Linked DNA regions of Arabidopsis thaliana. The protein of the gene in region 2 interacts with the protein of the main gene of each other region in a pairwise test. Each region holds a gene or a part of one and is shown on either strand. Other genes may lie near its edges. The genes, in order: CIPK3 and ESE3.

The links.
Region 1: the proteins of ESE3 (region 2) and CIPK3 interact in binary tests that used the Arabidopsis thaliana proteins (3 or more experiments, as listed by UniProt).

What each region holds. Positions count from the first base shown.
Region 1 is NC_003071.7:11,517,093-11,520,692, forward strand, and holds the start of CIPK3 (CBL-interacting protein kinase 3), read right to left. Parts: upstream 1,601-3,600; 5' UTR 1,335-1,600; coding exon 1,309-1,334; exon of another isoform or gene 1,118-1,308; coding exon 940-1,117; intron 841-939; coding exon 778-840; intron 681-777; coding exon 609-680; intron 519-608; coding exon 411-518; intron 292-410; coding exon 211-291; intron 71-210; coding exon 17-70; intron 1-16. Other genes in the region: FUS12 (proteasome family protein), read right to left, coding at 2,592-2,930, 3,014-3,104, 3,178-3,246, 3,511-3,600. UniProt on the Arabidopsis thaliana protein: Involved in the resistance to some abiotic stresses (e.g. high salt, hyperosmotic stress) in young seedlings, by regulating the expression of several stress-inducible genes (cold- and salt-induced genes but not drought-responsive genes).
Region 2 is NC_003076.8:8,706,025-8,709,767, forward strand, and holds ESE3 (Integrase-type DNA-binding superfamily protein), read right to left. Parts: upstream 1,862-3,743; 5' UTR 1,632-1,861; coding exon 1,549-1,631; intron 1,446-1,548; coding exon 983-1,445; 3' UTR 721-982; downstream 1-720.

The DNA.
Region 1 (3,600 bases), on a different chromosome or scaffold from region 2:
TTTGTTTTAGGCAGACCTCAGGAGCAACGTAGTTTGGTGTTCCACACGATGTATGCAAGAGTCCATCATCCTGATATCCCCAAGCATATAAACCATGTTTAAGAATAGATATATGTATATAATTTTTGACAACAAAATCCGTAAGTTCTTAGGAAAAATGAAACCACTTCTTGGAACAGTAAAATACTTATGGAAACAGATGGTCATTACCCTGACTTGTTGGGACAAAGCACTTAATCCAAAATCTGAGATCTTGAGGTTTCCATAGGAGTCCAATAGTAAATTTTCAGGCTGCAAAATCACATTACAATAGTCAATTACTGGCTTACTGCACATAATATATGCATAGGTAACTTCTCTATCAATATACCATGTTTCAGTCCTACCATCTATAAAAACAATGTATGTACCTTGAGGTCTCTATGGTAGACCCCTCTGCTATGACAGTAGTCCACAGCATGTATAAGCTGTTGGAAATATCTCCGCGCCTCATCTTCTTTCATCCGCCCATCATTTACCTTCATTCATAAGTTATCACTATCAGATTTCACAACTATAATGTGACATCACAGAATCACAACCATTTATAATTGTGGTAACTAACTTACAATCTTATCAAAGAGTTCTCCTCCTGTAACATACTCCAAGATGATAAATATTTTCGTCTTACTTGCCATCACCTGCAACAACAACAACCAGTACAATTTCGAAGTAAGTAATTTCCAAGTACATAGTACATAATCAAATAACACATTTATCTAAAGAAGTGTTAATTACCTCATATAATTGAACAACATTTGGATGTTTTATCAACTTCATAGTAGCTATCTCTCTTCTAATCTGTAAAATTCAACAAAAAAACACAAGCAAGATCAAAATCAACCGATAAAAAACCGCAATGCGAAAGCAGAGTATCCATAATTCAATAATAACAAAAACCTGTTCAGCCATTTTATGCTTGAGAACTTTCTCTTTATCAAGAATCTTGAGAGCAACAGGTTCTCCAGTTTCAGAGTTTCTAGCAAACTTAACTTTAGCAAACGTTCCTTCTCCAATTGTTCTTCCAACTTCATATTTACCTACTCTACGTTTCACTTGCTGTCTCCGATTCATTTCTCTAACCACACCACAAACAAATATCACTCCTTCAGAAAACTTAGAACAAAGAACGAAACTTTAGAGGATTTGATTGGAAACAAGAAAAGGGTAAAGAAGAAGCAAGACAGAGAATATCTCAATCTTATATATATATATATATATATATATATATATATATATATATTACTTATTTAAAAAGCAAAAAAGAACCTTAATTTTTTGTTGGGGATCAACATAAGAGAAGATCTGATAGCTACAGAGAGATTGAGTGAGAAAGAGAGAGATTTAAAATGGCTTTTGAGAGAGACGAAGAGACAGAGGTCGTGATAAACGATGAAGAAGAAGAAGAAGATTTATTTTGATTATTAAATTTTTGTTGGAAAAATTCGTTTTTGGTGAGAAGTTACAGTTTTGCTTTAAGGAGTTTCAGTAGCAGACAAAGATCCTTAGAACAGAAAGAAACAAAAATTAATTGCTGTCTTTGGTCTTTTTTTGAGTTTTGTAACTTGTAACCACTAAAAAAAAAAAAAAAAAAAAAGGCACAGTAACCGATTTCAAAGTTTTAAGATGATGAACTCAATTCGGATCTGTTTTCTCTTTTCTTTTCTTTTATTTTATTTTGATATTAAATTTCTTTTTTTAATGTTGAATTATTTTTGCCAAACAATTCTGAAATAATAATGATTAAAAATGATAATATTAGTTTTTTTTAATGGATCAAAGAATTGGGGCGAATTTTGTTGTGACTAGTGAAGATTTTGTTTTTTTGTTTTTGTGATGAATGTTTGTTTATTGACTTACTGATAGTGACAATAACTAACAAGATTTTTCGATTTAAGTAATTTTGTCTTCCACAAAAGATTGAACATGTAAAAGATACTAATCTGTTGTAAAAAAAAAAGGACAATACTAGGATCTAATCTAGATGGTATACCACCAGATAAGTTTGTATTTTTATATATAATAATGTTCAATTTTTATATGGACAAACACATTTTATGCAGCTTCGCTTTAACAGTCTCAACTTGACTGACATTTGATATATGAGAGTTATAGTGCAGAGTTTACTTTGAGTTGAATGGTTATTATAAAATTTAATCAGTGGCAACTGGCCCACTGGCCAGTGTGTAACAACAAGCAAAGATCCAGAAAGATTGACAAATTAAAAGCTAATTAAATTATTCGAACCTAATTTTCTTGTTCAGATTTGTTTCACTTTTAATATTCATAGTCGTAACCTTACTCGAAAAAGACATCCACGTTATTTGTAAGAGTTCCGGTGCATATCACCCATCGCTTGCAATTACTATCTAGTTGCTGCAAAGTTAAGAAATCAATTTTAAAAATGAGAATGAAGAAAAGTTTCAAATCCTTTTTCTTGGCATTGAAGTGGTTTATAAACTCCATCAAATCCAGCTATGTGAAGAGAAACAGATAATCCACAAAGAATCAACGCCAAATCACAAAATCTATCCAAAAGAGAGGTTTCCAAGTTAACAGACTCGGCTGGTGATATTTGAAGAAAGAGACTTGAGCTGTGAGTTCCATTTATCAACCGCCTTATGCAACTTCCTTCCATTGCCACTGTCGCCTCTCAGTAAGTAACGGTTCATTTCATCAATGTGACCATCGATTCTGCTGTCGAGTATCAGCGACACTAGTAACTCCGTCACATCCGTCTCTGGCACGTTCAGTTCCTTTGATATGAACGGAATCCCTATCTTTGTGTATGGCTTAATCAGCTTCAGTAACACTTGTGTTCTCACTTTCTTCAGCAGATCTTCCATGTAGTTTCTGATGAATGGATCATCCATTATCGTCCTCCGGTTACTCTACATTCCAAAAACCATTCCATGAGTGTCGTTTTCATATATAATGAGTTGAAAAAACAACCCAATAATACTTCACTTTTTACCTTTAGTATTCTCTCAAACTCTATGATCTCATTTCGTTGATATGCTGCGATCAAATTTGTCATTGCCAAAATCTCAGGGTCGTTTTTGTACCTGCAGAGAGCCAACTATGAAGCAACGAACCAAAACGAGTGTTCAACAAAAAATATATACGGAAATGACTTACGGCTTTGCCTCTTGGCCATCAAACGGATTCACTTCTGACTCCATCAGCATATTCGCCAGAACAAGATACCTTTGCATAGCCAAAAGAAAAAAAAAACAAAGATCATTAACTCTAACATGTTTGGACCGATCACAGAAAGTTACTGGACAAGAGTAATCGAATAATGCTCATATGCACCTAAAACCATGTCCCAAGTCAAATCTAAATAATATGCTTTGCTTTAATCATCCATTACATCTTTTATATTTACTTTTATACCATGTTAATAATCAAGTGACCAGAGGGTATCAAATAAGAAAGGATAAAGAGATGAGAAGATCATAGGAAACATACTTCAGGCACTGTATACGTCTTTGGTTGCCAGCTTCATCGTAATTTTTAAAAGCCTCAAAGAAGTCTGTCGCTGCTTCTTCCCACTGACGT
Region 2 (3,743 bases):
ATTTAGATGCATTGCATGTGTACTGGTTATATCGCAACGAGCTTTAACCATATTGAATTGCCATTATTTAGCTATTTTGGCTTGTTGCTAACAACTGATATTATATTATCGCGTATATGTATGCAAGAAGAATCAACCGATCGTCAAGGATATATTAAAGCCTGCTCATGTTATGTTTTCCATTCTTTGCTAGAGAATATTTTTATTTTCGTATTCAACCTTAAGGTAGTAAATGTAAATCATATTTTGTTACAAAAGTTAAAGTAGTGGTCGGAAAACACTAGTTTCCTTTTATTCGCATTACAAACAAAACAAATAAATAATAGGTTTGGACTGTTCGAAGAACAGAGTGTTCTAAGGAAACAGAGTAATTGCAGTCAAACACCTATTTTATGTAGCTAAATTATTTTTTCTATTTTAATATAAGGTGCTAGAAAACACAAATCCCTCTAATTAAAAAGTTGGATTTTATGGTCGTCAAGCCACAGCTAGGGACACTCTTTTTCTACTTAGCAGCAATCCCAAATTACCAAAAATAAAAATAAAAAAATGAAGGCCCACCGTTGAAAAATTAGAACATGCATGGAACAAAACCAAAAGCTAACTCAAAATATTCAAACTCTCATCTCTCTTCACTACTTTAGATATCTTTCTTCTCATTGTTGTATCTTTTCACTACATTAAATTCCCACTTTTTCACACACGAACACATGTGTAATTTTTAGTTTTTGGTTTCAAGTGTTCAATTGGTTTACATGGAGAAAAATCAGAAAATAACATTTTTTTATAATACTATACATAACATAGCATATGATCGATTGCTCTTATAGAAACTAGAATCAGTGTTTCAAAAGAGGCCAATTCAGATCAAAATGTCTTGAAATTAGCCTTCTCTCACTACTACTCTCATCACTTACGACGCCGTTTTTGTGGAAACAAAAATAAAAATGAAAAGAATACGCTAAAACGACAAGGCCATTTCTCACAGCGTCTGAGTTGGTAAAACAGAGCAAAGCTCAATGGAACCGTAGTGAAGCAGCTCCTCAATCATTTGCTCGATATGATCTTCCTCCAATGGCCTAAAATTCTGTTGCATATTCGCATTTCCATCTTCCCACTTGATCTCTGTCGTCTCCGTTACTCCTCTGTTCAAATGACTTTCGTTAGCCGTCACACCGTCACTGTCCGCGGATTGTGATCTTGCGGTCTGCGTTTGCGTTTGTGTTTGCGTTTGCTTGGTCATTTGAAGAGAAGCCATGTAGCATTTGTGGAGTTTAGCGGTAAGAGTTGCTGATAGAAGCTTGGAAGAGGAAGTAGGAATGGCATTAGGGTTGTATGGGAAATTAGTACGAGCTCTCGGGCCACACATTAGCCTAGCCGCCTCGTCGTAGGCCCTTGCTGCATCCTCCGCTGTCTCAAACGTCCCTAGCCAGATTCTTGTTTTCCTAAAAAAAACAAAAAAAAAACAAAAAAGTTTAGCATTACTCAAATAAAAAGCGACCGAGGGTAATTTCGTAATTTGAGAGGATGATGAGGGAGAGTTTTTACAAGAGAGGGTGACGAATTTCGGAGACCCAAGAGCCCCAATGCCTCTGTCTAACGCCTCGAAAGCGTTGTTGTGGTCGTGCCATTAGTGTGAATGGTAAATGGAAATAGGGTTTCAGGTGAGTTTGGTGTGTTTGTGGAAATGTTTTGAAAGAAGAAAGAATGATGAGAGTGAAGGAGCGTTTTTGGAAGAGTGAAGGGTAGCTATATAAGTAGTGTTGGCTTTAGCTTCATGAGAGAGAGAAATGTTTTTGTGTTAAAATTTTCTTTGGCAATAAACTGGCAATCAATTTGGTCCTAAATTGGACCCACACCATTACCAATACGACTCAGAAAATCTCATGGATTTTGTTTGATGTGAGAGAGAGAGTTATATTAATTTATTTAACTTAAAGTATTCTTAAATTTACTTCATTTGTTGTATTCGAAGTTGCTGCGACATGGGCAAATGGATTATCTAATTCTGTCACATATTATAGTGAAAATTGAAAGCTTCGAAACTACATGCTAAACTGTCGGAAAAGTGTTTTTTTTATTTAGAGATATTTTTTGGAAAGTATTATCGTAATTTATCTAAAAGTTAAAATAGAATTTAAATTATGAATTAACAAACTTATCACAGTTTTTGTTAGAATACAAAATTACAAATGTTCAATAGTTTCATATGAATTTATTTCTGTAACAAAAGCTAATTTTTTATCAACAAATATAAATTAATTAAAACGGTTTAGAAATCAAACCTAAGATAATTTAATCCAAACCTTTTTCTTTTCCTTTTGTCCCAAGTTACACATATTATACTTAGACAATTATAGTTATAATATCCTAAGTTATGGGGTATTTTTAAGATAAAACTAATAAATAGCTCTAAATATAATAACAACCCTACGTATATAGCATATATATTTATCAATTATTTTAATTTTCCCATTGTGAACAAGTTGGATCCAAAGAGATTTGGCTGCGGTGAAACTTCAAACCCACTGTACCTATTTTCACATGGGTTTGATCATCACAACATGTCTCTATATCATAGATACTGCCAAATTTTTCCCCAACTAATTAATAATAACGATAAATAATTGGAAAATATATAGTTTGATAACTAGCGAGACTCTTTCATCACCATTCTTCACCCATGTGAGCCTTTGATAATGACTCAATCAAACACCCAAAACCATCTTCGATTATCATCTTCTCTTTTCCCTTCTTTAATATTATTTTGTATTGTTATTATTGAAACAAACCTTAATGTATTGTCATCATACCCATGATTTCTGAGTGTACAGTTTACCTACGAGTCTGCGACCTATTAAAAAAAAAACTCTAATACATTATTTTTCAATTAAAAACATAGGTTTAATAATTAATAAATATGTGATTATGCCCATTACTGAAACTTGGAGAGGGAATTAGTATAATATTGCATAAACTTATCTACAATTTTTAGATAGTAGTATATGTTAATTGTATAGGGAATGTCACATAGTAACCACTTCTTATTTGGGTTTATATATGGATGTTTTTGTTTGCCAATTTATCTTTTGTTCGACAAAGTTTCATCAAATAAAAGTAAAGGTTATGTCGATCATATTCAGTCGCACGCATATTTAAAAAAAAAATAATCTCCAATTGAGACTATATCCTTTTAGAGTCAATTATAATTGGAATAAGAGGTAATAGAAGAATATGTTGGGCAAAAGAGTGTGTAGGTAGAATGGATACATCAAAATAACAAGTGCCAAATATTATTAGTTCAATCCAGTATCAAATTGATGAAAGAATCCTAGACCGCAATTATGACGACAAGAAAAACAACTAGAGAAGGTCATTAACTTTTTATCAAATAATTGATCATTTTCACCCTACTAATAATCATTCTTAACCCTAATAATTATTCAACATATGCTTTTTTTTGTCTGTATATTTGCATCCATGTCCATAAGAAAACGAAAAAAAAGAAAGTAACTTATCTCTCTCGGTGGTGTAGTAAAAGAAGGATGGTACTGAATGCTAATATCAGCAAGTTACATAATGGAAATATATATGTACCTTTGAAATAACAACATTACTACAACTGTAATTTTAATTAAACAAAAATAATTTTGATATGTCTAACATATTCGCTTTTACTTAGGTAACTATTCTTTGTTTCATACGTGGTTTAATTGTATTGGTCGATCAAACAATATAGCAAA